7 linked regions of the Mus musculus genome follow. The protein of the gene in region 1 interacts with the protein of each later gene in a biochemical or structural test. Links are inferred from orthologs where the notes say so. Each region holds a gene or a part of one and is shown in the gene's direction. Other genes may lie near its edges.

Evidence for each region.
Region 2: the proteins of Cdc42 (region 1) and Pak2 form a complex in vitro, tested with the Homo sapiens proteins (4 studies listed by BioGRID, with this or other methods). The link is inferred for Mus musculus from reciprocal best matches to the Homo sapiens genes CDC42 and PAK2.
Region 3: of the proteins of Cdc42 (region 1) and Arhgap32, one has a biochemical effect on the other in vitro, tested with the Homo sapiens proteins (3 studies listed by BioGRID). The link is inferred for Mus musculus from reciprocal best matches to the Homo sapiens genes CDC42 and ARHGAP32.
Region 4: the proteins of Cdc42 (region 1) and Cdc42ep5 form a complex in vitro, tested with the Homo sapiens proteins (2 studies listed by BioGRID). The link is inferred for Mus musculus from reciprocal best matches to the Homo sapiens genes CDC42 and CDC42EP5.
Region 5: the proteins of Cdc42 (region 1) and Iqgap1 form a complex in vitro, tested with the Homo sapiens proteins (6 studies listed by BioGRID and IntAct). The link is inferred for Mus musculus from reciprocal best matches to the Homo sapiens genes CDC42 and IQGAP1.
Region 6: the proteins of Cdc42 (region 1) and Arhgef7 form a complex in vitro, tested with the Homo sapiens proteins (2 studies listed by BioGRID). The link is inferred for Mus musculus from reciprocal best matches to the Homo sapiens genes CDC42 and ARHGEF7.
Region 7: the proteins of Cdc42 (region 1) and Bnip2 form a complex in vitro, tested with the Homo sapiens proteins (2 studies listed by BioGRID, with this or other methods). The link is inferred for Mus musculus from reciprocal best matches to the Homo sapiens genes CDC42 and BNIP2.

The regions. Positions count from the first base shown.
Region 1 is NC_000070.6:137,333,246-137,337,535, reverse strand, and holds part of Cdc42 (cell division control protein 42 homolog), read left to right. Parts: intron 1-1,406; 5' UTR 1,407-1,456; coding exon 1,457-1,561; intron 1,562-4,290. UniProt on the Homo sapiens protein: Plasma membrane-associated small GTPase which cycles between an active GTP-bound and an inactive GDP-bound state. In active state binds to a variety of effector proteins to regulate cellular responses. Involved in epithelial cell polarization processes.
Region 2 is NC_000082.6:32,041,343-32,045,632, reverse strand, and holds part of Pak2 (serine/threonine-protein kinase PAK 2), read left to right. Parts: intron 1-1,051; coding exon 1,052-1,152; intron 1,153-1,632; coding exon 1,633-1,780; intron 1,781-2,455; coding exon 2,456-2,487; intron 2,488-4,057; coding exon 4,058-4,165; intron 4,166-4,290. UniProt on the Homo sapiens protein: Serine/threonine protein kinase that plays a role in a variety of different signaling pathways including cytoskeleton regulation, cell motility, cell cycle progression, apoptosis or proliferation.
Region 3 is NC_000075.6:32,251,793-32,256,082, forward strand, and holds part of Arhgap32 (rho GTPase-activating protein 32), read left to right. Parts: intron 1-2,274; coding exon 2,275-2,346; intron 2,347-3,381; coding exon 3,382-4,266; intron 4,267-4,290. UniProt on the Homo sapiens protein: GTPase-activating protein (GAP) promoting GTP hydrolysis on RHOA, CDC42 and RAC1 small GTPases. May be involved in the differentiation of neuronal cells during the formation of neurite extensions.
Region 4 is NC_000073.6:4,161,414-4,166,503, reverse strand, and holds the start of Cdc42ep5 (cdc42 effector protein 5), read left to right. Parts: upstream 1-1,798; 5' UTR 1,799-2,045; intron 2,046-2,205; exon of another isoform or gene 2,206-2,259; coding exon of another isoform or gene 2,260-2,286; intron 2,287-2,316; 5' UTR 2,317-2,411; intron 2,412-5,090. UniProt on the Homo sapiens protein: Probably involved in the organization of the actin cytoskeleton. May act downstream of CDC42 to induce actin filament assembly leading to cell shape changes. Induces pseudopodia formation in fibroblasts. Inhibits MAPK8 independently of CDC42 binding.
Region 5 is NC_000073.6:80,713,553-80,716,966, reverse strand, and holds part of Iqgap1 (ras GTPase-activating-like protein IQGAP1), read left to right. Parts: intron 1-3,021; coding exon 3,022-3,135; 3' UTR 3,136-3,414. UniProt on the Homo sapiens protein: Plays a crucial role in regulating the dynamics and assembly of the actin cytoskeleton.
Region 6 is NC_000074.6:11,828,693-11,832,813, forward strand, and holds part of Arhgef7 (rho guanine nucleotide exchange factor 7), read left to right. Parts: intron 1-2,800; coding exon 2,801-2,900; intron 2,901-3,202; coding exon 3,203-3,257; intron 3,258-4,121. UniProt on the Homo sapiens protein: Acts as a RAC1 guanine nucleotide exchange factor (GEF) and can induce membrane ruffling. Functions in cell migration, attachment and cell spreading. Promotes targeting of RAC1 to focal adhesions. May function as a positive regulator of apoptosis.
Region 7 is NC_000075.6:70,002,613-70,006,902, forward strand, and holds part of Bnip2 (BCL2/adenovirus E1B 19 kDa protein-interacting protein 2), read left to right. Parts: intron 1-766; coding exon 767-853; intron 854-956; coding exon 957-1,055; coding exon of another isoform or gene 1,056-1,209; exon of another isoform or gene 1,210-1,387; intron 1,388-1,693; coding exon 1,694-1,729; intron 1,730-4,290.

The DNA.
Region 1 (4,290 bases):
ACAGACACACAAAGATTCCATATCTTAATATCCCAGATTAAAAAATTAGTGTGGGGTGGGGGTTGTAGGGGTAGGGTGGCTCACTGAAGAGATGGTTAATAGTTAACATTTGTAAAGAAAGAATCTAGGTTCCATTCTAGCACCAGTGTTGTGGCTTACAGCTGTCTCTCCTGATATCTGTGGGCACTAGGCACACAATAGGCATATACATGATGAGCAAAACATACATACAACAGATCTAAAAAAATTTTTTTGAGGGGAAAGTTTATCTTTAAGTACAGTAAATTCTTGATGTATTGTAATTGATAGTTGGTAAAACTGTAGTAAGAGAAACTAAACTCTGTGTGTGTGTGCACACGTGTGTTAGTGCTTGCATGGCATGCGTGTTTGTGTTGATGTGTATTCATGCATGCATGAACACACTCTCTGGTATACTTGTGGAGGTCAGAGGACAACCTTGAATGTCAGTCCTTGCCTTTGACCTTGTTTTTTTGAGACAGGGTTTTCTTGTTTACTGCTTCGTGTACCATGTATGCTGTAAGCTTCTTCCTCCAACCTCCTGATGGGGCACCCTGGGATTACTGGCACTATCTATCACTACTGCACCTAACTTTTATTTGATTCTGGGGATCTGAGCTTAGGTTGTTAGGCTTGTGTGGAAAATGCTGTACTTCTGAACCATGTTCCTAGCCCATATAATAATTACAATTTAAAATTTATCACTGGTTATAAGAGCTGATATTTTCATTGTAAAAATGTAGGTTGAAACACTTGAGGCCATGAGTAATAACTAGGCTAACTGGTGCTGACATGGCTGCTGAGAACTAGAGGTCACTCTGATCATTGCTCACAAGTTCTGAGGGGGGTGGGCGAAGGCTGCGCTGCTTGTTACTATATCCTGAGTTACTGCAGCTCTAAGGCTGGGCAGTGAGTCATTTTTTAGAGTATTCTTCGGGCTGCAATTGGTCTTGCATATAATGCGTGTGTGCTCACACTGAAGCAGCTTTCACAAACTATACTTCATATACCACACGAGACTCTTTTTATAGCACCTTCCTTGCCCAAGGCAGGCGGATCTCTGAGTTTGAGGCCACTCACAGAGTGAGTTACAGAACAGCAAGGGCTACACAGAGAAACCCAGTCTCAGGGAAGAAAAAAAAAAATAAAAGGAATATATCGGTCACTGTTCTACTTTGATACTTAAGACAAAACAACAAGGTCCAGAAACTTAGCAAATGGATCCTTGTAATTGCTGCTCTGAGCAAGTTGCCATTTTTTCTTTTTAGAGGTTTTCAGTCATAGCAGTAATGCTAGTTCTGGTTTGAGTGGCTGAGCCTGTTGCTAGGGGAAAAAAGTATGGATTTAAACATAAATCAATAAAATAATTGTCTTTAATTTCTTCTTAGGACAAGATCTAATTTGAAATATTAAAAGTGGATACAAAACTGTTTCCGAAATGCAGACAATTAAGTGTGTTGTTGTTGGTGATGGTGCTGTTGGTAAAACATGTCTCCTGATATCCTACACAACAAACAAATTCCCATCGGAATATGTACCAACTGTAAGTATAAAGGCTTTTTACTAGCAAAAGATTGTAATGTAGTGTCTGTCCATTGGAAAACACTTGGCCTGCCTGCAGTATTTTTGACTGTCTTGCCCTTTAAAAAAAATTAAATTTTACTACCTTTATTACTTTGTGGGGTGTGTGTTATATGTACATACCTGTGTCCTGCTTTGGTGTATGTGTAGATGGCAGAGGACAACTTGAAGGGGTCTTTTTCCATTGTTGGGCTCTTAAGTTGAACTTAGGTTGTCATGGTTGGCAGCAAATGCCACACACAGCAGCCCACTGTTTGACAGTTTTAAAGGTTTTGACTTCTCATGCATGATTACCTGTACTTTAAAATAGAACAGCTGGGGTTGGAGAGTTGGCTCCACAGTTAAAAATGCTGGCTGCTCTTCCAGAGGACTCAAGATTCAATTCCTAGCACCCACATGGTGGTTCATAGCTACCTATAATCCAGCGCCCTTTACTGACTTCTGACGACACTGGGCAATCATGTGATGCACAGACATACATGCAGGCAAAACACATATACATATAAAAATAAGATGATAATAAAGGTAAGTAAAGTAAAAGATGAAAAATGAGTCTTAAGTTAGAAGGGGTGACACAGGGTCTGTAAGAAGGTCTGGAAAGTTATGAAGCATGGGCTGTCAGTTTGCAGAAGTGCATCCTACATTGGGATGAGGTGACTTTTTGTGTCTGTGCCATTGATTAATAAAGCCTAGAGACCCTGGGGCGCAAATATAAGGACCTTATAATTTCAGAGAAAGTAGTAATGTTTCTGCTTACCTTGTGGAGCTGTTCTCTAAATAGTGATGAGGTTTCATTTCACACTTAATTTTAGGGGTAGAGAGCAGACTTTTCTAAGAGCGTTCAGATATGCCTGAAGTCTTGGGACACTCACTGTAATTGCTTTATTAACTCCTCCTTAGAAGGGAAGAGGAGAGATAGGAATAATTCAATAACTAGATGAGACACTTATTGGAGTGATACTTGGGAAAGCATGTTTGGGGCTACAATATTTATTCAGAGTTGCTTGTATAATTATGTTAAATGTACTTGCCCTTTCAGTGCTCAGAGGGGAGTAATTTTAGGAACTATAAGGGTCCAAAGTATATCTAATATGGGACTCGTATCTTTTGGAATTGACCAAAAAAAAAAAAAGAGCAACCTGAGGTCAGTCTTCAGAGACATAGTTAACATAGTGTTAGCCTCTGTGATGGCACAGCTGGTGAAGTTAGGCTAAGGTGCGTGAAAGAAGATGAAGTTTCTTTGAGGGCTGAGAACTTAAGGATGTAATTTGGTAATAAAACTACAGTTTTGAGTTGGCCCATTAATCAGAAGATGTTTTGAAGGTACAAGGGGCTTTGTGAGACATGATATGGATCATTTCGTAAGGTGAGATAGCCATTGGGAATTTGGTGTCTTGAGTTTTTACTTGGAAACACGATTTCCAAGTCTTTCATGACTTTATTTAATGTGATGAATTGACAGCGGGCTTCTAGGGGGCTGGTGAGATGGCTCAATGGGTAAGAGCACTGACCGCTCTTCCAAAGGACCTGAGTTCAAATTCCAGCAACCACATGGTGGTTCACAACCACCCAAAATGAGATCTGACGCCCTCTTCTGGTGCATCTGAAAACAGCTGCAGTATACTTATTTATAATAATAAATAAATCCTTAAAAAAAAAAGAAGAAAGTGGGCTTCTGGGTGTTTTATATGTCTGTGTATTGTTGGGGAAAGAATAGCAGTAGGGTAAATTTTTAAGTGGGCCTCCTGAAGTAAATAGTCCGAAGTCAGTTATTTATCAATGGTGTCTCTGTTGGCATGGAAATAGATTTGCATCTTTATGCCCATCTGTGGGCTGAGTTATCAGTTATGGAATAGAGCTGAAGAAAATTATGCACATCTTCCATGAGAGAGAAAATTTAGGTTCAACTTGCAGATGAGGCTTGGAAATCAAGGTTTGTTTGTTTATGCTTTTTTTTTGGTTTTGTTTTGTTTTGGAAGACTGGGGCTCACTGTATAGCTCTGGCTGCCATTGACTCTGCTCAGTGCGTTCTGATTCTGATTTTGCTGTCTTCCTTTTTCTTTCTTTCTTTTTTTAAAAGATGTATTTATTTATTATATGTAAGTACACTGTAGCTGTCTTCAGACACACCAGAAGAGGGCATCAGATCTCATTGTGGATGGTTGTGAGCTACCATGTGGTTGCTGGGATTTGAACTCAGGACCTTTGGAAGAGCAGTCAGTGCTCTTAACTGCTAAGCCCATCTCTCTAGCCTGTCTTCCTTTTTTCTGAGGCAAGGTTTTACTATGTTGTTCAAGTTGGTCTGGGATTCAAGTGATACTTAAGCTTAACCTCCCCAAGTGGCTAAGATAGATGCTATCCAACATACCTGACACATTCCTGTTGTTCTCCTTAATGAATTATTTTATTAATTTTTATTTGTGTGATGTGTCATGTCCACAGGAGTGCAAGTGCTTACAGAGGCCAGAGCTCCCCTGGAGTTGAAGTTACAGGTGGTTGTGAGCCTCCTCATGTAGGTGCTGAGAACTGAACTTGAGTCCTCTGAAAGAACAGTCCAGAGTTCTTTAACTACTGTGCCATCTCTCCAGCCGAACTGTCTGTGAATAAGTAGTTTCTTAGAAATAATATTGGACATTGTGTTTTATTTTGTTTTTTGTTTTGTTTTGTTTTTTTGAGACAGGGTTACTCTGT
Region 2 (4,290 bases), on another chromosome or scaffold:
GCTCTCTTCTGGAGTGTATGAAGATAGCTATAGTGAACTTACATATAATAAATAAATAGATATATAGATATATAGATAGATAGATAGATAGATAGATAGATAGATAGATAGATAGATAGATATTTAAAAAGAAAACATTATTATCAGAGGAAAACAGTGATCAAAGAACAATGAGAAATAATTCTTAGTAGGAGTATTTAAAATTAACCGAACAGGCTGGGGGCTGGAGAGATGACTCAGTAGTTAAGAGCACTGACTGCTTTTCCAAAGGTCCTGAGTTCAATTCCCAGCAATCACGATTTGTGGTTGGCCATGGATCAGAATGCAAGATGTATATAAATTCTAAGTAGATTCATAGATTAATGCAATTCCTGTCACAGCCCTAGGAGGCTTTTTGTAGAAATGTGAAACATTGTTATTTTCATATAGAAAAAAAAAAAGGACGTAGACTATACTTTGATTGTTTGTTATAAGGATGACAGTAATCAAGATAGACAGGATTGGCATAATGATAGACAGATGATTTTAAGAGAGCAGAGCATCCAGAAATAGATCCTTGGTTTTAAGAGCTACAGATTAGAGGAGGAGGACTGGGGAGGAGAAGGAATTGATGTATTTGAATGTGCAAAAAATGTTACTGATGTTGCAAGAATGTTGTAATTTTTTTTTACAGTACAACTATAGGAGAGTTCGGTAATTTAAAGATGTAATATTTACAGACTGTAATGAAAAGAAAAGTGTAAGCCAGGTATTGTGGCTCATGTATTCAACCTTAATATTCTTAGGCTATACAGGAGAATTGCCCTGAATTTGAGGCCAATGTGGGCTGGAGAATGAGGCCTGTCTCAGAAAATCAGGTTGGAGGAGGAGGGAGGGAAAGATGGTCGCTTTCACAAGTGGCGCCCGTAAATTGTGTCCAGCAGGGTGCATGTCGATATCAATCAGTTCCTATCATAAGTTCATTCATAATTGGTTTCAGAACTTACAAATACAGTAATAAGTGCCATAGATAGCCTTGTTTAAAGAGATAATTTTCTCCCCCATCCCCCAGGAAGTAAAAAGAAAGAAAAAGAACGGCCAGAGATTTCTCCCCCATCTGATTTTGAGCACACCATCCATGTTGGCTTTGATGCTGTTACGGGAGAGTTCACTGTAAGTTTACCTTTTGGCCAGACATGGTGGAATACAGTTTTAATCCACTTGGGAGGTGGGCAGATCTCTGAGTTTGAGGCCAGCATGGTCTACAGAGTGAGTGAGTCCCAGAACAGCTGGGGTTACACAGAGAAACCCTGTCTTGAAAAACAAAATAAAAACTACTGTACTTTTGTAATCCCAACACTGAGGCAGCTATGGGCAACTAAGGCAACTGGAACTCAGACTGTTTTCAGAGTTTCAGGCCAGGCTGAGCTATATAGTTGAAACTTTGTTTCAAAAGTAAGTAAGTACCGGCTGTAGAGCTAGCCTAGCAGTTAGGAGCACTTGCTCTTGCAGAAGACCTGGTTCAGTTCCCATCACCCACACAGCAGCTCACAGCCTTCCATTACATGTGCTGTGCAGGCATTGTCATTGGTCTGTGAAATGTTTTTATTCGAGCATTAAACCATAACTCATTTATGGGTTTCTTTTGGTTAGGGCATGCCAGAACAGTGGGCGCGGCTGTTGCAGACCTCCAACATTACCAAACTCGAGCAGAAGAAGAACCCTCAGGCAGTGCTGGATGTCTTGAAGTTCTACGACTCCAACACTGTGAAACAGAAGTACCTGAGTTTCACTCCTCCTGGTAAGACCCCAGACGGTGGTGAGAAAAGATTCCTTCTGGGACAATCAACAATGGAAGTATAGCTGTTGTCGCTCCTTCTCTCCTGCATAAATCTGCCCTTTAGAGAGTGTTGATGTCTGGTGATTATATAAACCTTATCATTTTGCCAGAAATAGAGTTGGTGGATGTTTGAGCTCTTTGCTTATTTAACCTTTTCCTCTATGATGCTTTTAAATGACTTCCAGCAATGGAAGGCAAAGCGTCTAAATGTATAGACAAGGTCATGCTTGAGATGGTTGTTGTGAGTAGGCTGTAGTGGAAGTGACTTTGTGACATAAATCAGCTCTGACAGGACAGTGCTTTGCCATCCATCCGGCGTTTTGGAAAACACCTTAATCCCATCACTCAGCAGGCTGAGGTAGACAGAGCTCTGTGTGTTCAAAGCCATACTGGTCTGTATTTCTAGCTCCACAGCAGCCAAGGATACGCCCAACCTTATACATGCAATAAATAAAATCTAAAATAGGGATGGGGGTAGGGGGAGAAACAACAACTAGCAGGGACTGTATAGCAAATATCAGGTCAGCTAGGGCTACATAGCAAAACCCTGTCTGCTTGTGTGTGTGTGTGTGTGATTTCCCAGTTCACTTTTCTTTCTCAGTTTGGTAATACATATCTTTTCTGTTTCACATTCAGAGAAAGATGGCTTCCCTTCTGGAACACCAGCAGTAAGTTAATAATTTATTATAATTTGCATTCTGATTTAGGTTGCTGTCTTAGTCAGGGTTTCTATTCCTGCACAAACATCATGACCAAGAAGCAAGTTGGGGAGGAAAGGGTTTATTTGGCTTACACTTCCATACTGCTGTTCATCACCAAAGGAATTCAGGACTGGAACTCAAGCAGGTCAGGAAGCAGGAGCTGATGCAGAGGCCATGGAGGAATGTTCTTTACTGGCTTGCTCAGCCTGCTTTCTTATAGAACCAAGACTACCAGCCCTGAGATGGTCCCACCCACAAGGGGCCTTTCCCCCTTGATCACTAATTGAGAAAATGCCTTACAGTTGTATCTCATGGAGGCATTTCCTCAACTGAAGCTCCTTTCTCTGTGATAACTCCAGCTGTGTGAAGTTGACACAAAACTAGCCAGTACAGTTGCCTAGAACAAGTCTATTTTAATTTGCTTGGTAAATATATAAAAACAAGGGTCTGGAGTGATTACTCCGCAGTTAAGGGCGCTGGCTGCTCTTCCAAAGGTCCTGAGTTCAGTTCTCAGCAATGACGTGGTGGCTCACAATCATCTGTAATGGGATCTGTTGCCCTCTACTGGTGTGTCTGAGTATAGCAACAATGTACTCATACATAAAATAAATACATCTTTAAATAGTTAAATGTGGTAGCCATCGCTTCCTGCCTTTTGGCTAAGATCAAGTGTAAATGTGGTAGCCATGTCTCCAACCCCAACTCTCAAGAGGCCAAGGTTGTGTAATCACTGTGAATTTGAAGGACTGGGTGACTAGCAAGACCGTATCTTAAAAAACCAAAAATAAAGTAAAATTAGCCATCAGATAAATACCTCTTTGTTTTTTCTTTCTTTCTTTCTTTCTTTTTTTAAAGTTAGCCATTTGTTTAATTGAAGAAACCATATTAAGTAAATAGGATTTGCTTGTTGGGCAGTTTAATCTTTATAATGGCTTCCAGTGCAATTTAATTACTCTTCCACTGTTTCCAGATTGAACCTGAATATGGTGAACTGGATGGCATAGTCTCTCCTCCCATAACCCCTACCAGTACCGTTCTGAGTGTGGTAAATTGTGTCACATTCTAAATAGTTTAAAAAACAAAACAAAACTTGTCAGCTCCTTTTCTTGCTTTGTTAACTGGTGAAGCTGGATCTCTTAAATTCCTCAAAATGAGGTTTATGTCTACAGAGTCCAGAGAACCTTCAGTTTGGTCTTAAGAAGATTGCTTACTTAACAGAGCACCGTGTGTGCTTATGTAAAGGGCAGGAATAGTGCCCCAGTGTACTCGGGAGCTCTGAACGTAGCTCAGTGGTAGAGCAGTCACACCATACACAGACCTCAGGATCAGTCATTAGCAGAGTCCCCTCCCACTGAAATGATACTCACCGTATATATTCATTTACTTTTTAATTGGTTGTATTGGAACCAGTGAAGTTTGGTAGTTTTTATATTAGCTATTGAAGAAATAAGCTTTTAAGACTGTTTTTATAGGGGAGCCCCATGTTAACCTTTGATGTTATTGGTTTATCCTCTCTTTGCTGCTGTGATGAATGCAGCTGAACACCAAGGGGTCAGAGACATCAGCTGTAGTGACAGAGGAAGATGATGATGATGAAGACGCTGCTCCTCCCGTCATTGCCCCTCGGCCAGATCATACAAAATCAGTGAGTGACAGGCTGATGACCCCCAACTCTGTGTCTTGAAATAATTGGTGTGTGTTTGAACTTGCTGTCAAAATGTTAAAAGGCCTTTGAGCTTAAAATACTGTATTATGGCTGGGCAGTGGTGG
Region 3 (4,290 bases), on another chromosome or scaffold:
GCTACACAGAGAAACCCTGTCTCAAACCCCCCTCTCCCCCCCAAAAAAACTTAATATTTTATGTGTATGGATGCCTTGTTTGCATTTTTTTTTTTACCTTTTTTTTCCGAGACAGGATTTCTCTGTGTAGCCCTGGCTGTCCTGGAACTCACTTTATAGACCAGGCTGGCCTACTCAGAAATCCGCCTGCCTCTGCCTCCCGACTGCTGGGATTAAAGGCTTGTGCCACCACGCCCGGCCCTTGTTTGCATTTGTGTGTGTACACTCCATGTGCCTGGTGCTCATGGAGGCCAGAGGAGAGCCATGGATTCCCTGGAACTGAAGTTATAGTGGCTGTGAGCTGCCTGCCATGTGGGGGCTGGGAATCAACCCCAGGTCCTCTGAAGAGCATCAGTGCTCTTAACCACTAAGCATGCTCTCCAGCACCAGGAAAGAGAACTTTCAACTTGGGAGTTGAAGAAGGTACAGTTCACCTGATCTTTAAGGCGACTGAGAGTCCTTTCTCAGGAGATGAGAGCAGGCTGGGGAGAGGAACAACTTGGAGAAGAGATTTGTAAAGAACTCAGAGAAATTGTTGTCAAGAGAGGAGAGCAGGAAGGTACGGTTAGGAAGGTCACAGAGAGCATAAGAAACAGAGCTCAGAGTATCTGCAGTTTGTTGTGCTTGCTATCAACAGGTCAGAAAGACATGGAACTTTAGCAGGTAAGATTAATGTATACAATAAAAATAACCAGTATTCCTGGGGCTGCTGTTACTAATTACTACAAATTGAAACTGGAAGCACAAATGTGTATGGAAACAGTTTGACAGATGTCACCTCGCCTGTGGTCACTTGAAGTTCTTAGGGAAGACACCCTCCTGTCTCTTCTATCCCCTTACGGCTCCCAGCATCTCTTGCCTTTTTTTTAATTATTATTACGTATTTTCTTCAATTACATTTCCAATGCTATCCCAAAAGTCCCCCCCTACTCCCCCCCCAACTCCCCTACCCACCCATTCCCATTTTTTGGCCCTGGCATTCCCCTGTACTGGGGCATATAAAGTTTGCGTGTCCAATGGGCTTCTCTTTCCAGTGATGGCTGACTAGGCCATCTTTTGATACATATGCAGCTAGAGACAAGAGCTCTGGGGTACTGGTTAGTTCATAATGTTGTTCCACCGATAGGGTTGCAGATCTCTTTAGCTCCTTGGATACTTTCTCTAGCTCCTCCATTGGGGGCCCTGTGATCCATCCAATAGTTGACTGTGAGCATCCACTTCTGTGTTTGCTAGGCCCCGTCCTAGTCTCACAAGGGACAGCTATATCACGGTCCTTGCAACAAAGGCTTGCTAGTGTATGCAATGGTGTCATCGTTTGGAGGCTAAATGGACCATCTAGAGACTGCCATATCCAGGGATCCATCCCATAATTAGCCTCCAAACTATGACATCTCTTGCCTTTAAGTAGCACAACTCCATGTTTTCATGGGGCCTTCTTCTCTATGTCTCTTTGTCTTTTATTTTCACCCTCCTTGAAGAAAGGAGCCACTGTAAGATGTCATCAGAGGGGCTGGAGGAGTGGCTCAGTGGCTGAAAGCTCTTCTTTTCTTTCCTTTCCTTTCCTTTCCTCTTCTCTTCTCTTCTCTTCTCTTCTCTTCTCTTCTCTTCTCTTCTCTTCTCTTCTCTTCTCTTCTCTTCTCTTCTTTCTTTTTTTTTTTTGGGGGGGGTTTGTTTTTTGAGACAGGGTTTCTTTCTGTAGCCCTGGCTGTCCTGGAACTCGGAAATCCACCTGCCTCTGCCTCCCGAGTGCTGGGATTAAAGGTGTGCGCCACCACGCCCGGCTGAAAGCTCTTCTAAAGGACTGAGTTTGCTTCCTAGCAGCAGAGACTCCTCCGAGGGATCCCTTACCCTCTCTGGCCTCCTCGGTCCCTGGCATACACGTGGGGCATACTCACATGAACATGTGCATACGAGTAAAAATAAGAGTTGTAAAGACATCACCCAAGGTTACCAAGTTGGTCTTTTGGAAACTTATAAGAAGAGAATCTTTTAGTTCACCTTTGGGCTCAAGTTCGTAGGCTTTGGAAAGTTGTTTGTTTTATTTTTTTTCCCCACACTGGAAACAGAATGATGCAGCACATTCCATACTGGGATAGTAAGCTGAATATGACTGCGAAATGGACAGCTCATCACACTTGGAGATTCAAGTGTTGCTAGGGAAAGTCCAGACCCTTTAACTGTATAGTCCTTAACAATCAATCACAGGCTTTACACTGCTTGGTTTTTATTATTTAGGTGGCAGGGCAGAAGGAACCCTCCGCTCAGCTAAAAGTGAAGAGTCCCTTACTTCTCTCCATGCAGTTGACGGTAAGACTAAAGTGTCCTCGGATGGATTACATAAAACACACAGAGGCAGCAATGTTATGAATATATACTTAGCAAGAAGGCTGTGAAATATCACTTCCAGTACTATTAGCATTAAGTATGGTTCAGTTAAAACTCATGGATATTTTAATATGGTGTGGTATTTTGGCAACAAATACTGTTTATGTAAAATGGCTGAAATGTTTCAAAGCAAACATTTATATTTGTCAGTGCTTAAAAGTGAGTGTCACTGTTTCCTTTAGATTTGGTAACTGGAGCAGCTTTGAGACTCATTTGTTAATGATGGGTGGTCTTCAAGGGTCATTAGTAGTTGGACCTGGCACCTTAAAGTGAGTCTGCCTCCAAAGGACCAACATCACCTGGCAGATACTGGAGGGAGGTGTGGTTACAGCTTAAGTTAAAATTCAGAATCAGACTTTATGAAAGCAAGTGTTGTGCTAAGCTGTGCCACTTGGATTTGCTTGGAAAGTGAAAAGCCTGTTTTCATTGGAAAAGAAGGAAGGATTTTAAGTGTGTGAATAGAGTGCTTTATTAAATGTGTGTAAATACTTTTTAATTAGGAAGAAGTATCATTTCTTCTTGTCTGGGGTACCATAAGGATATTTCCCCATAATAAACAACCTTTTGTTACTATTTGATACCCAAGGTGCTACTTTCAGTGATGACTTCTACCTTGCAAGTCAAATATGAGACCAGTGATAAAATAAGACACAAAGAAAGTAGGAACATTTGCCCAAAGTCATAGCAGTTGTCAATGTTGAGTTTGGCATACAATCCAAGAGTCTCTTGCCATTTTCTTACCCAGGCTGTGGATCAGCTGTAGTTCATGTGCTTTTTAATTAGTGTTTTATTTAGAAGTTCTTTTGCCACAAATGTAACTGATGTTTGTACACCCAGAGACAGTTCATGGGACGAGAGATTGAAGTTGCATGATTCCTGCTGTACTAGATAGGTGACTAGTGGTGGTGCTGTGTCCTGTGACAGCCATGCTCTGACATTGCTGTCCATTTTTACCAGGTGATTCCAAGTTGTTCCGACCTAGAAGACCCAGATCCAGCAGCGATGCGCTCTCTGCCTCTTTCAATGGCGACGTGCTGGGGAACCGGTGCAATTCCTATGACAATCTGCCCCACGACAACGAGAGTGAAGAGGAAGTGGGGCTGCTCCACATTCCAGCTCTTGTGTCTCCTCATTCGGCTGAGGATGTTGACTTGAGTCCACCAGACATCGGAGTGGCCAGTCTGGACTTTGATCCCATGTCATTTCAATGTAGTCCTCCAAAAGCTGAGTCAGAGTGTCTGGAGAGTGGTGCTTCCTTTCTGGATTCATTAGGTTATACCAGGGATAAACTGAGTCCCAGTAAGAAGGATGCAGAAGCAGGTGGTAGCCAGTCACAGACTCCAGGAAGCACCGCAAGTTCCGAACCTGTATCTCCAGTCCAGGAGAAACTGAGTCCGTTTTTCACCCTGGACTTGAGCCCCACTGACGACAAGTCTTCTAAGCCATCTTCATTTACAGAAAAGGTTGTTTATGCTTTCTCTCCGAAGATTGGGCGGAAGCTAAGCAAATCTCCTTCCATGAACATATCTGAGCCTATTTCAGTGACTCTCCCACCTCGGGTATCAGAAGTCATCGGTACGGTCTCCAATACTGTAGCTCAGAATGCATCACCTACATCTTGGGACAAAAGTGTGGAAGAAAGAGATGTCATAAATAGATCCCCCACCCAGCTGCAGCTAGGAAAGATGAAAGCAGGTGAGAGAGAGGCACAGGAGACCTGTGAACCAGAAGCACAGCCCCTGGAACAGGGGGCAGCTGAAGAAGTAGAGTTGCCAGGGACAGAGGAGCGGCCTGTCCTGAGCAGTCAGAGCAAGGCTGTACCGTCTGGACAGAGTCAGACAGGTACTGTTTGTTCTCCTCCGTTCC
Region 4 (5,090 bases), on another chromosome or scaffold:
CCCCCTTGACCTGTCACATATGTCATATCTGTCACATGTTACAAACATCATAATTACATTATATATATTAACTATATATTTATTGCAATGTCAGTGACGTGTAAAAACATGCACACCCAGAATAGGTAGCTCAATAAAAGCTAATAAAAGTCATAAATAGCGAGGCGTGATGACACACCTTTAACCCTGGCACCCTGGAGAATAGAGGCAATCAGATGTCTGTGACTTTGAGAATAAAATGATTGACATAGCAAGTTCCAGGCCAGCCAGAGCTACATAGTGAGACATTGTCACCTCAGCTATCCAGGACACTGAAGTGAAAGGAAGTGAACTCAAGCTCAGCCTGAGCTAATTAATGAGAGACCCTGTCTGAAGAGCAGGGTACCAGGTAGAGGATAATCTCGACACTGTGCACACAGTGTGCCTACAGGAGGGAGTGGTTTATAGCTCAGTTGTCCAGGGCTTAACTAGCAGGCAAGTGGCCCTAGGTTCAATCCCTGCTATCACCAACAAAACAATTCATCAACAGCAACATGTATGTGTGTGTATGTGTTTGTGTGTGTGTGTCGTGGGGGGGGGGGTGTCACAAATGAGATGAGACATAGTAGCTGTCTTTATCAGTATGGGTTATTTAATTTAACCTCCAGTTCTATCCATTTTCTCAAAAATGACATAATTATGCTTTTCTTCAAGGCTGTCCAAAACCCCTTTGGGAACATACACCACGATTTCTTTATCCAATCATCTATCCGTTGATGGGTGTCTAGACTAATCCAGTAACCTGGCTCCTCTGTAAAAACTGCAAACACATGGGCCCGCAGGTATGTGTCATTCTGACTTAGATTTCTCCTAGTGGCTTTCAAGCTGACCTCTCAGTGTCTACCAAAGTCATTTCTTTTCTACTTGCTTCCCTGTGTGTTTGTGTTCCACGTGGCCTCTGTCCAAAGTCCCTGCAGTGCTTTCTGCAGACCTCCTAGACAAAATATCTCTATTAAACACTGTGGACTTCTCCCTGTACTAAAGGTCTATCCTACCATGCCTCTGCTGTTCTCTGACAGTGCTCCCTCCTCCCTGGCTCTACAGGCTCCCAGTATAGACCTCAGTGTGCAACCCAAAGGTGCTTGCTTATTAGATCTGTAACTGGGTCTCCCTCTGAGCCTTCCCTCTTTCTGTGCATTTTGCCCTAAGCCACACGACACCCGGGAACAGCACACATACCTCACACCCCCCAAACACCCTCACTCCAGCCGTGCTCCATCAGCTTTTGAAGGATGTTGTGAACACCAGTGTGTAGTCTTCACCACAGACAGGGAATCAGAGTGAAGACCCTTCTCTGGCAGATGGCTGCAAATAGGAGCATCCTGGGGAACGCTCCAGGGCAATTGCACAGCACTTCTTTCTCCTACTGGGACTTTAATTCTCTCTTATCTTTTTTCCTCTCCTCCCATATCTCTCTCTCTCTCTCACTCACACACACTTCACCCCACATTCTCTCTCTCTCTCTCTCTCTCTCTCTCTCTCACACACACACACACACACACACACACACACACACACCCCACACTCTCCTTCTTTCCTCTCTTCCTATCTTTTTTCTCAACTCGCCCTCCCTTCCTGCCCCCCCCCCCCCAGCCCCCACCCCATGCCACTCCCCTAACAGCTGCAGTCTGGAAGAAATTACTCTTCTAAACAGCCAGACTTCACTGGTTTCAGGACATTCCAGGCTGGGCCGGGGAGGGGTTGGGCTGGGGGCGTGCCCGTCCATCCCCCTAGCTCTACCCCCGCTTCCACTACGCTCAGTCCTGGTTTCCTCCTGTCCCTACAATCCCTTCAAAGGGCCTTTAGCTTTTCTACCATCAAGGCTTTCTAGTCCTTTAAATCCTAGAGGCAAACTTTTAGGGACTAAGGAAGGCTGGGAGGGGCCTATGGCTTAACCCTCTCAACCCGGGACAAGAGACCAGCTTGGCTGACTGGGCGTTGACTCGGTGCTTGGTTGGTAGGCTGCCATGGCCCCCGAGAGGGGCTGAAGCTTATTCCTGGTGCAGGTAAGAAGGAACTTCCGGGGGTTGCCAGATTCTGGGGGCTAGTCTCTTGGGTCTGAGGGAGGAGGGCAAACGAAAGAGAATTCCTGGACCCCTGGAATGTGAGAGAGGAAAGCAGGGGAACTCCCAGCCCGTGAAACCAGAGAGCTAGGAGGTGGGGCTGCTGAGACCCAAGGGTGCAGGACCCAGCCTGAGGCGGTGGCACTCAGACCGCCGCATGCCTAGGTCCTGGAGCCCCTACCAGGTAGGACGTGACACTTACTTTATTTGCCAGGTGAGATCTCTCCTGCAGAAAGAAGGAAAAAGGCGCCAGAGAGGCCAGGAGGGACCCCAGCTTAAGTCGGATCTCAATTAAGTCTGGACCACGAGGTGAGAAGGTTGTAGTGGGCAGGGGTCTTCAACCGGGGGCGTGGGAGGAAGACAGACTAGTTAGCAAACAGACCAGGGACTTCGACGTACCCGATGCAGCCCGGTGGCTTTAGGAAAAGAATTGCCAATGCTGAGATCCCAGGGGTCTCCAGGTGGGGTCCCTTGCCAGGTCTGGGCTCCACCCTCCTCCAGCCTGAGAACCAGTCCAGCCAGCTCTGGAGCGGGTTATTATTTTCTTGCTGGCAGGGCTGGGGCTGAGAGAGGACAGAGGTGAGCCAGCTGTGCCCCACCCCCACCCCCACCCCCATCCCTGCAGCTGGAGCCACGCGGTACTTAGGCAGGAAAAAGAGGGTGGAAGAGGCCAGAGAGGATGTGCTTATCTGAGCATGTGTCTGTCAGGGCGGGCTGGGTTGCCTGCTTTCTTCCAGTCTACTTTGCATTGATCCCTAACAACAGCCCCTCTGTAAGAGCCTAGGCTGATGACGAACTTTTCCCAAGAATGACCACATTGCCTTGTGTTTAACAGGCCTGCAGCACGCATATTTGAGCTTAGAGCTGAGTGTGCAAAAGGACACCTAGGTTGCAGGGGGATGTGACTCGCTGAAGGTCTCAGAGCAAGCCAAGGCTACAGGGGCATTAAAATCTCCATGTTGCATGTGTTAGAGCAGGCATGTAGTGTGTTGCATTCGAGTATGTTAGGGTAACCCCCTAGATTATTCTCCACTTTATTCTTGAAATGAGAGAGGTCTCTTATTCAAAGGAATAAGCCCCAGCTGTCTTCTTGCCCCTGCCCTCTTCCGTGCTGGGCTTAGAGGGTTTTTGAATGGGTGCTGGGGATTTGAACTCAGGTTCTTGTGATTGTGCAGCGAGTACCCTCGTCCCCCTCTAAACAGTTAACCATCATTCCAGTCCCAAGAGCTTTTTCCCCCCAAGAGACCGAATTTCACTATGTAGTCCTGGCTGGCCTGAAACTCTCTATGTAGACCAGGCTGGCCTTAGACTTATAAAGATCCACTTACCTCTGCCTTCTGTACACTGAGATTAAAGGCATGTGCATCACATCCACCTCCCAAAGCTCGTTGTGGTTGTGAGCCTACCCTTTAGCAGCTGAGCGTTCTCTCTAGCCCCACAAAAGCTCTTTTAATTCACTTCCTCCCCCCATATACAATGGAAGAGAAAACAAAGTCAGGAAAGGTACCACATGAGAGCTCTGGCTTTTATATCAAATTAAAGCTTTTTTGTTCCTCTCCATGTGGTCCACCTCCTGTGGGTGACTGTCAACTGCAATAGCTTCTTTACATTTCAGTCTTTACCAGCCTGGTCTAAATCCTGTCTCCAGAATATATTCCCGTGTGACCCAGGGCCAGTTATTGAATCTTTCTGCTTTTCATCATTGAAAAAAAAAGTTATCACCTTCTGCTCCAAGGATTGTTTTGAGGATCAAATGAGTTACCAAGGCCGGTGCTCATCTGTGAGAATGTGCCTGGGAAATAAAGAGGGCCCTGTGTGTGTTCAACATCCTTTAATATACAGGGATCTGGCTCTTGTTTTTCAGAGGATAAATTCAGCAAAAGATTAAGGGAACTCCCATAAGAAAAAAAGGGCAAATTTCTAGCACCAGTATATGTGATGTTACAAATTGTGATCTTAGCTGAATTTATGGGTATAGGCCTATAATCCCAGTTACTAGGGAGTAGAGGCTGAGGCAGGAGGATCACAAGTTTAAAGATCAGGTTATGGAGTAAATATAAATATAAAATACAACATCAATTTGGACCGGGGCAGTGGTGGCGCATGCCTTTAATCCCAGCACTTGGGAGGCAGAGGCAGGTGGATTTCTGAGTTCAAGACCAGCCTGGTCTACAGAGTGAGTTCCAGGATAGCCAGGGCTACACAGAGAAACCCTGTCTTGGAAAAAAAAAAAAAAAGGAAAAATCCATGTACCTGCTAAGTTGTTAAGGGCCAGTCCCACAGCCCATCAAAACTTTTGTTTACATTATGGTGGAAGAAGGGAGAGGTGATTGTGTGTCAAGTTACAATAAAAATATGTCTGCTTATCTACTTTTTTAAAGTTTTATTTAGTTTTTTTAGCTGCTTTTTAAAAAAGATTTATTTATTTATTATATCTAAGTACACTGTAGCTGTCTTCAGACATTCCAGAAGAGGGCACCAGATCTCATTACGGATGGTTGTGAGCCATGTGGTTGCTGGGATTTGAACTCAGGGCCTACAGAAGAGCAGTCAGTGCTCTTAACCGCTGAGCCATCTCTCCAGCCCCCATGTCTGCTTATCTAGGTTAAGGGTAGAGTAGGACTGGTATAGCAAGAGCAGTTTGAGAGATGGACAAGATGGCGCAGTTTTGTAAGCTCAGCACTTGGGAAGGCTGAGGCAAGAGGACTGCCATGAGCTGCCTGAAAGATGCTATCTCCAAAATAAAATTAACAACGATAAACACCAATGCTGGTGGTAGGCCTGAAATCTCAGCTACTCAGGATGCTGAGGAAGGAGAATAACGAAGTTTAAGGCCTAGGCTACAAAGTGAGTTCAAGGACAGCCTGGACAACTTAGTAAGATCTTGTCCAGTAATGAAAATCAAAAAGGTTTGAGAGAGGGCCATGGAAGTATTGGAGCTATGACTCAAGACATTAGAAGCACTGGCTGCTCTTCCAGACAACCTGG
Region 5 (3,414 bases), on another chromosome or scaffold:
GAGAAAAGATAAGGGAAAGCCTTTGGGGAGAGCTTTGTGTATTCAGAGAGCTCGGTGGGCGCCTAGTTGGGAGAAGCTAAGGGCTTGGGGAGTTGGGTGTGGTCTGTGTCCTCTGAGAGTCGTCCTGTGCGGATGCTTTAGAGTGCTCTGACACCTGAATCTTCACTCCAGCCCTGATGAGCTGGTGCCCTGGCCTTGAAGGAGGTACCTAACCACCAGTGTTAGCAGTAAGAGATTCTTTGCTGCTCTGTACTTGAAATCTCTCTTTGTTTTCATTTTTATTTGATATGGATACCTTTTGTTAGGGATATTACTAAAATTTGTGAACACATTGCCTCGTTGTAACTCTGAATCACATTTTAAATTCAAAATTAACTCTGTAGCCGTTTTATAACGTAGCTGCCCCTAATTTATTTTTAAGTTTCTTTTTTTTTTCTTTCTGGTGCTTACATTTGACCCTCAGCATTGTGCTTGCAGGCTGTTTCCCACTGAGTTCAATTTCCAACCCCAAATACCTGATTTTGGGGAGTGGGAGGAATCTTATGTAGCCCAAACTATCCTCAAATCCACTATGTAGTTGAGTCTGGCCTTGAACACTTGACTCTCCTGTTTCTCCCAAATGCTGGGATTATAGATATGTGCCACCATGCCGAGCTGCCTAAATATCTATTTTTGCACATTAAAAAATGTACCAAATAAGGATGGTGACACGCACCAGTAATCCAGCTCTCAGGAGACAGAGGCAAGAAGATTCAGAGTTTGAGGCCAGCCTGGACTTCATTGTAATTCCTGGCCAGCCTGTATAGTGAAAGCAATCTTCAAAATCCAAAGCCAGAAATAATCAGACAATTGAAAGGATTCATGAGCGGTGTCCAGACCCAACTATGTGTGTACCACATAGTAGACCTCTTACGGTTTTTGTTGGTTGGTTTCTTTTTCTTTTCTTTTTTTTTTTTTTAAAGATTTATGTATTTATGTATGTAGCTGTCTTCAGACACACACCAGAAGAGGGCATCAGATCCTATTACAGAAGGTTGTGAGCCACCATGTGGTTGCTGGGAATTGAACTCAGAACCTCTAGAAGAGCAGTCAGTGCTCCTAACCAGTGAGTGACCTCTTCAGCCTGGTTGGCTCATTTCTTTTGCAGTGCTGAGAATCAAACTTTGAGCCTCACACATGCTCTACTGCCAAACTGCTCTTCCATGTCTTGCCACACCCTGCCTTGCTTGCCACTGCCGTGGTCTAGCAAACCAGGCTGGTGCCTCTCTGTGAGCAAGCGTTCCGCCTTCTGCACAGGATGCTCTCCCCTCCTGGAATCAGCCTCCCTCCCTCTGCTCCCTACCTGCCTCCTGCCTCCATCAAACAGTGAGCACTGGCCCGCGCTGCCCCCCTACAGCCGCAGTGATGGCCCTTCCCCTTGACTCAGCAGCCCTGAGACATCCTCTGTTGACAGTGCGAGCTGACTCATTTCCCTGCCACCCCCAAAACTGGGAACTCCTAAGACAGTATGTCTTAGTCATCTGTACCTCCCTGTTGGTAACCAGTAGTCTCTCAGCGCATATTAATTCAGTAACTGTGAAAGGATTTCTTCACACACTGTAACTAAGCATACTGCATACAGTCCCTATTCCATTGGTTTCACTGCCAGTGCAGGCCAACCAGTCTGCTAAGGAGACTGTACACTGCTGCTCGGATTCAGGAACTGGTCTGCCTCATAGGTGCCTGGGGTTAGGGTTAGGCTAGGCAGAGAGGACACACCATGGTCCCCATCCTTGGGACACTGCGGTCCCTTCATGCCCTTCCTCACCACCACTCACCAGTTTAGTGGTAGTGACGACAGTGCTGTCGTAAGCCGCCAGGACTGCAGAGAACATTAGAAAACAGCCGATCATACCGATCACCCCAGAGCCAGCTCTTTCCTGATGGCCTTGCCACCCAACACTTTGAGCCTCAGCAGCTCATCTCTAAAGTTCAGATAATTATGCTTCATAAGGTTTTTGTAATGCCTTGAAAAAATAGTGTGTAAGGTGCCTAACCGAGGCCACACACAGGCTCGGTGCTGGATGGTTGCTCCTCCTGTTGTACTTGCATTTACGTTAGACAACCTTTCTCATGCGGAGTTGAAGTTGGAGTCATATTCAGTTTACAAGAGACCCTGGGCTCAGTCTCCTAAAAACAAAGGACTCCAGTAGACTGCAGAGCTGGAGATGTAGTTCTGTTGGTAGAATGCTTGTTTGGCAGGCACAAACCCCTGGGTTTGATCTCAGCACTGTAGAAACTGAGCCAGGCAGCACATACCTGTCATCCCACCATGGGGTCAGGAGTATTCGGTCAGCCTGTGCAAAAGTGCCAGGGGTGGAGGCGGGGCGGGGGCAGAGCAACTGGTAGGTACTGAGACATTACAGGTCATTCTCATTTTCATTTCTCATTCTCATTGGCATATTTCATAAATTGAAATGCCTTTACTTTTTCTATGTGTATTAAAACCTCTAACCTACATCTGAAACAATGGGGAAATGCCATCATAACTTCTTTTTGATTAATCATTCCTTTACATTTCAAATCATATCCCCCTTCCAGTTACCCCTCAACAAATCCCATCCCATCTCCCCTCTCCCCTCTCCACCCTCCCCTTTGCCTCTTGAGGATGATGCTTCACCCACTCATCCATGCCCTGCTCACTGCTCCAGCGGCCCCTACCGTTGTAACTTTTGAAATAAGCTTTAAATGTATTTTAACTGAACATAACTCCTAATTTCCCTTTGTGTTTAGAATCTTTTACTATAAACTAAATGATAACCTAAGACTAAGTTGTAGGCTCCCTGTTGCTCCAGCACCCAGGGTAGCTGGCCCCAGGGCAGTCGTGCCCCGTAAAGCTCTGCACTGAGAAGTGTGTCTGACCTGCTGCACCATTTCACACCTGGCACAGAAGTCCTGCCTCTCCTCTCCTGGATCGTGGGGTCCTTCCTTTTCTTGTTCTGGATTCGATGGTGAAATTGTTTTGTTTTGTTTTTTAAACAGGACTTGCTGCAGCTACAGTATGAAGGAGTTGCAGTTATGAAATTATTTGATAGAGCTAAAGTGAATGTCAACCTCCTGATCTTCCTTCTCAACAAAAAGTTCTATGGGAAGTAATGGGTCGCTCGCCGCCCAGAAGAGTTAACAAAAAACGGCAGCACCTCACGGCTGTCTTTCTAGGATCCTCCATTATTCCTTAGAAGCAAGGACCTGGTCCAGTGGCGGTGCCTCAGTTCACACTCCCTCTGACGGACGGACGGACGTCAGTGCCCTCTCCCTTCTCCTTGTGAAGCCATAAGCCTGACTTCCCCTCAGCCCTGCTCCCTCATTTTCTCTCATCATGTAGGAAAGAGTGGGACCCCCTCCCAACCCCTTTCTGTTAAAGCCTCCTAAGTG
Region 6 (4,121 bases), on another chromosome or scaffold:
GGGGCACCATGTAAAGTGCTAGCACATTCTCTGGTCCTGTGGTTACATGCTTTTTTCCAACCTAGGTATTCAAGAAAACTGTGCTCTGATGCCACTAAGCACAGCAATGTCTCAGTTACAGTGTTGAGTATGTATTTTAGAAAACTGCTGTCCTTAAGATACCACTAACTTACAAACTGGCTTGCTATACTTCATTGTTTTGTTGAAAGGCGGCTACACGTTTTAAAAAATCATTTTAGAAATGCATGCTGTGTTGAAAGATGGGTGGCTTATGGTGACCTGACGGGTGTCTGCCTGCTGTACAGATGAGCAGTCTGCGTTACATGCCCGTCACCCACTATCAGGCTCAACAGCAGTTCCCTCTGCCTGTCTCAGAGCTGGAGCAGTTATACCTTCAACCCAGAGCACAGTCTTAGACTTTGATTGAGGTCTTGGTGCCCTGTGCACAGAGCAGTTTCATGTCCAGGACCCTGTCATGTGTTTTCAAACTGACAGCTGCCATGAAGTTTAGTCCCTTAGATCTATTGCGTTACTTACTGGAGCTCATAGCTTTTATTTAGGACTACGTTTAGTAAGAGATGGTTAACTGAAAGGTCAACCTTCATTCAGCAAAGTGTCCTTGGTAAGTGTAGAGCAGCCCTCAGTCTCTTACAGAGTCTGAAAGCTTTAATGCTGGAAACAGATTTTCCAGCGAGAAAAGACTGGAAGAGCTGAGAGGAAGTGCGCGGACCGCACTGCTCTGGTATGGTGACGAGGCCTCGCCGGGCCTCACCCGCCGGGCCTTCTCAAGCCCATAGTAAGTTTAATGACAGGGTGGTCACCAAGACTAACAGAGTCATCAGCACTCAGCCCAAGCATACTACTTGGCTGCAGGGTAACAGCGGGAAGCCTGGAGAGCCATCCCAAGTGCTCTTTCCTGGATCCCCTTCTTCCCCCAGGAGCTGGGGTCCAGCATCGCAGACGCCTGCACTTCTCTGGTCCTCACTTTTGGGCACTTTCAGAATGCATTAGCTTCCTCTAAAGACACCTGCCCTCCTGTGGGAGGCATGCGTAAACATGCTTTCTTTGTGTGACCTGTGTCCCTCAGTGCTCAATAGGAAACGAGCCTCAGAGTGGCTCCTGCTAAATCAAAGAGGCTGTCCAGGAAGGACATCTGCCTGTCACTTGCACCCTCCTGGGGGTGGGGGTTGACACTGTCAGCCTGCTGCTGGTTTTTAAAATATGTCCCTCCCTAGGACTATATGTTAAAGCCTACCATCTCCAGGACTTGAGACACAGAGAGAAAGATAGGTGGTGTGTCCTCACTAGAGCACGTAGCTGCAACCCCTCCAGGGTGGGGTGGCTATCATTTGGGATAGTCTTTCACAAAGAGTATACTCCGAGCATATTAGGATGTTGACAACCTACTCACATGGGAGTCAAGGCTGGACTACCTCACCATATACAGGGCCTCCTTTTACTGACAAAATTGTGCTCTGTGACATAGGCCTGGCAGGCCTGGCTTGATGGCCACTCCTGAACTCCCCAAGGTGTTTCCAGTCTCTGTCATTCTGGCCTTGATTGAGTACCTTCCAGTGCAATAGGCTTGGCAGATACACAGAGTCTTCCAGGCCCCATAGTTAGCCTGATGTACAGCTATATGTCCCTACATGCCAGGGACATTTCATAAGCTTAGACAGCAGTGGGCTCACCTCAGTGCATTCAGAGCACAGGTTCGGGTTAAATTGCATGAAAAGCTGCTCTTCACAGTTTTCTCTCTCAAACACCATTCTAGGGTTTCCATGCCAACGAGGGTGCACAAGAAGTGCTCCTTAAAATCTGATATGCTTTCAGAAAGACAGACAAAGGGCACCCCAGAAACACAAAAGCAAATTAACCCCTTGTGCACAGTCATCTTGCCTCGTGTCACATGCTTTTCCTCAAGAGCTGTGACAGCACAGCCCTCGGCAGGCATCTGTATTCACACAGAGCCCGTCCTTCAGCAGGCGTCCATATTCATGCAGAGCCCGTCCTTCCTCCAGTGCGGACCTGGTGGTGGTGCGCAAAAACAATGAGAATAATCAGTCACATGGCGTAATTCTTCCTGGTACCCATCCTTTCAAGGCCAGTGTCTGCAGCACATTGTGCGTCCGACACATGAGGTGGTTACCAGCCAACGTCTGTGCCAGGACCATGTGCCTGTTCCCGCTGCCATTGGAAGCTGTGTGTCTCAAGGGGCTGAGAATGCTTTCATCTGGTGATCAGTCAGTAAACCGCACCTCTCCTAAACCATTGTGTTACAGTGCTACAGGGTTTTAAAAGCCATTACTACTGTACAGCTTTTTCTTGACGCTTTAGCTGTGACTCTTAGCCCTTCACACTGAGCTACCACTCCAGCTCTGAAACTTTTTTTCAATTGCCAGACTTTTTTCATTTATAAGCACAAGAATTATGCATTCTTTCCCGGTCTGGACTTTCCAGCGTTGCTGCTCCGCTATAATGGTTTAAACCTCGATTGTGTGTTGAGTGCAGTGTGGACAGACCTTTAGCGTACTTGCTGTTAGCTAGCGATTAACGTACTTAAGAGAGTTTAATAATTCGCAAAAGAGGCGATTTTTACTTAGTTTGCCTAGTTTGCCTTTGCTGTTTCCTTTGCTCTGTAGTGTTTTGGTTGGCCACACTCAGCAGACAGCTGGAGGAAAGTGGTGAAAGGTCTTCCTGCGCAATCACTGGTGCTGTGTGATAAGTGACTGTAGTGAAGTAGGTGTCCTTTCCTGCCCTCAGGTGGCACTCACGTGGGCCTTCTCTTTCTAATGACCAGGTTCACGCAAAGAATCTGCTCCACAAGTGTTGCTTCCAGAAGAAGAAAAAATTATAGTCGAAGAAACCAAGAGCAATGGGCAGACAGTGATAGAGGAAAAGTAAGATGCTTTTCTCTTCCATTATGGCTGGCTCCCCACCCCCACCCCACTCCATCTCAGGCAGATAGTGATAGAAAATAAATAAGATGGTTTTCTATTCTGTTCTGGCTGGCTCCCCCACCATCCCATGGGTGGCACGATCTCTAAAGTCTGCCGGAGGCTGGGGTGCAGCCCCTCAGATGGGTGACAGTCTAAGCTTGGGGTTAGCTTGAGGAACCTAGGGGGGCTCCACCCTGGAGGCTCTGCCCGTCTGTGTTGTGTCTCTTTGGCCTTTCCTGTGCTTACTCGCTCTCCTGTTCCAGGAGCCTCGTGGATACGGTGTATGCGTTAAAGGATGAAGTCCAGGAGTTAAGACAGGTACGCCAGCCAGTTTTTACTTTTAATTAGTTTTTTTTTTTTTTTAAATGGGAGAAAAAGGGAAATACTGTTTTAAACGTGAAGCTCATTGTATACTGAAAGGAAACCACAAAGTCAACACCGTTTCTCAGATAGGAGTGACTGGCAAGGGCTGGAGAGATGGTATAGCGGCTAAAAGGTCCAAGTTCAGCTTACACATCCACATGGAAGCCTATCTGTTAACTCCAGTCCTGGGGTATCTAATGCTGCCTTTTGGCCTCTGTGGGTAATGCATACACATTGTACACAGACATACATGCAGGAAAAACACCCCGTGTATAAAACAGTATACACACACACACATGCATGTCTAAAAAAGAATAAATTATCATTTTAAAACACAAGAGTGAGAGGCAGGAGATGCCTGCCTGTGCAGCACAGCTGTTTGGGTGCGAGCGGCCCGTCTTTTGCCTAACTTCTAAGTAGTGCTTTATTACTTTGTGTTTGATGTGGGGTGGGGCACATGGCATGGCACATGTGGAGTGGGTTCTCTACTTGTATGTGGGTTCTGAGAATCAAATTCTGGATGTCAGACTTGCCCTGCAAGCCCCTTCACCTGCTTGAGCCGTTGTAGGATGTGTATATTCAGTGCTTTGGAGGGACAGGGCAGCAGTGTCCTGAGGGTGAGGTAACTGGACATACTTGGCAGTGCCTGTCTCCCCTTCTCGTGTTTGGGGCAGTATGCTTTTCTCCCTTCCTGATATGTCTCGTTCAGTAGCTATTGCTTCTGTTCTGTGTTTGACTGGACAGGGGAATTACAAATGCTAGCAGTGGGTCTGTAGACATTGTCCCTGTTCCTCTTACCAGCCCCTTCCTTCGGGCACG
Region 7 (4,290 bases), on another chromosome or scaffold:
AATGAGACCTGGGTCCCCATGCTTACACTGCAGGCACTGGACCAACTAGGCCATCTCTCAGGTTTCCAGCTATAGTTTTTTAAAACAATCACTAAAAATGTGTTATCTTGAGACTCATTTGTCCACACCAATCAAGCAACTCTAATCTTGCTAATGGTTCAGTGTTGCCTTCGTTGATTCAAGTGGTTTACCCTGACTTGTTAATAGGGTTTGTTTTTTTCCCCTAGGAAAACATGTTCACTATCTTCTGTGATTGTTTTTTTTTTTAATACATACAAATATCTAAAAAGAAGCTTTTACTTTATAGTGAACATTTTTAAATTTCAAAGTGTTATTGAGTCTGACTCCTGGCTCACTCCTTTGGTTTTCTCTGCCCATCCCCCTTACAAGCTAGTGCTTTTCATGATATTAGAAGCAAATGCCACTTGTTCCCTAGATTTGAACAGAAAAAGATGGTTTACTTTCTTTCATGTTCAGTATCAGCTTTCCTTGCCGGAGGAGGAAATGCTAGCAGGCATTTGAAAGCAGACAAAGTAAGCCATGAACTTGGACAAATTAAATAAACTCTATTTCACAGCATCGGAGGGATGTTTAGAACTCAGGAATGTATTTTCTTGTCTTTAGAATGTTACACTTGAATGAAAATTGTTGGTGACTTTTTTTTCCATCTATTTTGTACAAATTTGCATTATACTTATTTATATCTAACTTTTTTGTGCTATAATTTGTAGAAATTTTGTATAATTTTTTTTCTTTTTGTCTTCAGATTAAGGAAAAACCTTAAGTCTCTAATCATTGTGCACCCCTCTTGGTTTATCCGAACACTTCTGGCTGTTACACGACCATTTATCAGGTAATTTTCTGAGTGTCCATTTAAAAAAAAAGTATCTTGTATTTAAATGTCAGATTTATGAGTCAGAAGTACGGAGATAATTGTTTTGTGTTTTCTTCCCCAGTTCAAAGTTCAGTCAGAAGATCAGATACGTCTTTAACTTGGCCGAGCTGGCAGAGCTTGTTCCCATGGAGTATGTCGGCATACCAGAGTGCATCAAACAGTACGTCTGCCCTGCTTTCCTTCCCTTCCTGGTTGTGGGCAAGGGGAATGCTTTTCCCTCTCACGGTATTCCAGAACACAGGGTTTGTAAGGAACCCCACAGCTTCCCCTCACAGCACCATGTTTACAGAACTGGAGGTGATGGCCACTCATGAGTCCTTCTGTACGCTAAGTGCTGTTTACAGTCCGAGAGATGACTTCCTGAAAAGGCAGTCCTGTAGAGTAACTTTTCTGCTCGACGTATTACACTCTCACATGGAGTGAGTTTATCATATTACTGAAAGAACTCATTGCTAAAGAAACGAGTTGTTGATTAAATCAGCTTGGTCTTAATATTTTCCAGAAACTAGAATTTTCTGTTTCATCGTTCACTTCCGCCTGCCTTCTAAGAGACTTGGAGAGACTGTTGGTTGAGCAGTGGCATCACAGTGCTGTGGTGCAGTATTTCTCTGACTGTTACTGTTGGTCTCAGGGTTTAGGCTTAAGTATTTCCAAACCAGATTTACCAAGTTGGTTTGTAGTCACTACATCATGTTAAATGTTAGCATTTCATATTTGTGCCTACACAGTTACACGTTCAGTCTTTTTTTTTTTTAATCTCAAAATGTGCATTTACTGAAATAACTCTTCCCTACCAAGGTATGAAGAAGAAAAGTTTAAAAAGAGACAAAAAAGGTACATGCACACCTTGACTGGGTTGCATCTAGACTAGTCCATTTGCATTGCACAGACTAACCCTGCTGCTAGTTGGTTAGCTTGCAAACAGAGACTAGCATTTGTAAATATAAATGTCGCCCAGAGCCGAGGACAGGGCAAACCCCAAGCTCCTCGTGCTCAATATGAGCATGCTTAACGTGTGTGTCGTATCAGAGCTCTCCTGCTCTGTGTGCTGAACCCAGAGAAGTGACTGGGAGCCCTGGCTAAAATCCCAGGCCTTTGAAAACTTTAGCATTTTGCTTTTGAAGTAGATAAACAGACATTTTCAAGCAACAGCTTATTCCCTTGGGGTCGATGATTATATTTGCAATGCATATACTCTTTGGCTAACCAACATTGATTTTCTCTATATGCTTAAATAGCCTGCTAACCAGTCAAACTCTACATGTGATAAAATACCTAAATTCAGTGTACCATTTAACAGTTAAACACTCTGCTTTCTACTTGAAATTTAATTTTGAACACTTCTGCTTTGAGTGTAACAACCTTTCATTTGTTAATGTCTTAGCATAAAGATGAAAGGCAGAGCATAAAATAGTTTATCATTTTATATAGTAGTTTAGAAAAGCCTTGGTCCTGATTTATTCATAGTTTAGTTCGGGAGTTTTTGTTTAGTTTTGGAGCTGGTCTTACTCCGTATCTCAGGCTGGCCTCTCTTTCACAGTCTTCTGCTTCAGTATCCAACTGTGAGCTTGTGCTTCTCCTCCACCACACCCACTGTTAGTAGATTTCATTTTATTTTTAAATTGTAACAACAGCATTAGCAAATGTCACTTACTATGATCTTAGAGACTAAGATGAGAGACGTACATATGTTACTTTAACCATCTGTGGGGCCAGTTAGAATCTTTGCTGGTGTAGTCTTAATTTTGAACAGTGTGATTCTTTTGGTGAGAATTCAGCTAACCATTTAAGAGTTATTTTTGTGTAGCACTTTCCAGTTTAAACAAGATTCACTAATCTTGTGTAAAGCAGTATGTAACTAGTAGCTTGGGTAGTAGGGTCTGCTTCTCTAGGCAGTGCTGTGTATATGCCTGACAAATGGATGAAACTCAAAATAGCATCGATAATTATAGATAGTAGTTGGAAGCCACCTACTTTCTAGACTTTAAAATGACTTACTGGGAGTTGGGGCTGGCAAATACCTTTAATCACAACACTTGAGAGGCAGAAACTGGCAGATTCTGTGAATTGAGGGCAGCCAGATCTACATAGTGAGTTTCAGGAGCTGGGGGGGGGGGGTTGAGAGAGGGGGAAGAGGGGACCCTGTATATATAAATGCTTCTGATGAGGAAATGTGCTGGTAATACCCCTTTTAAAAAGGTTTTAGTATTTTATCAGCTGTCATAGGTAATCCAGGCATCACGTAAAAAGTGAAACTTAATGTTTTACTTTTGTCATTTGAAAGCATTCACTTAATCTATGTTCCCCTGCTAAAAAAAAGAAATGTAGTCATTTATCTTGCATTGTTTCCCATTGTGCTTGTGTTCATTCCTCAGTAGTGTCATTACTGATGTCTTTCAGCCCTTAATTCATATAAAACTTCCTTTAGTATTAAAAAGATGATTTGAGAAATATTTAATTATCTCTAAATACAGAAATATGTTTAAGATAAAACTGGGGGGGAGGGTTAGTTGTGGCAAGCATCTGTTAAGTGGAACTTGGACAGGCATTCCTAGTATTTGCTAGGAACTAAGGATTGAGGTATAGTCCTTTTAAATGTTTTACCTGTTTTCTTTCTGAAATGTGGTGTCCTGTGGCCAGGCAGCTGTCATGCTTCAACAGTGCCTACAATTACTTCTTAATAGTAGTTCATACTTTAAAAAATCAGTTGTATATTATAGGCCTTAACAAGAGTATTAGCTAATCTTTGATGCCAAGATAATATATTTTTACAACAGTTCTGGCCTTTTTACTTTTGATTGACAGATATTTAGGTAATTGTAGGTATGGAAACAGGTGTGAAAAAGAACCATCCTGCTGTGTACTAGTGTGACTTATATATCTCACACCAGCCATTCAAGCTACTACAGAGTCAGTTCTGTTACATTATCTTCTCATCTCCATGTGCCTACATTTTCTTAGTACCTCTGGCCAACCAACCATTAATCCAGTGAGATTTTTTAACTTGTTATAGATACTTCTGAATGTTGAGTCCATATGGCTTACTTTCATAATAAATGAACAGCATTCACACACAGTGTACCAGTGAATTCCAGAAAATAGTATAGTTGCTATTCTGTAAGACACAATTTGGTTCTGGATTTTAAAAATGTTAATTGGTCAGTTGGTGATTTAAATGACACATTTAAATTTCAGTTAACAATCATTTTTGAGAGAGTTGATTTTTCTGTCAGCAGTCCTACTCACTAAACTTCTTGCTTTAGTGGAATTATATCAGTTATCAGCTCTCAGAATGTTTATGGCTGTGAACATAAAGTATCCTGTGGTCTTAAAAAAAATAGTGACAATGTATTCTTGCCAGTGTCCTGTTGCTTAGAAAAATTCTGTTCCTTTTG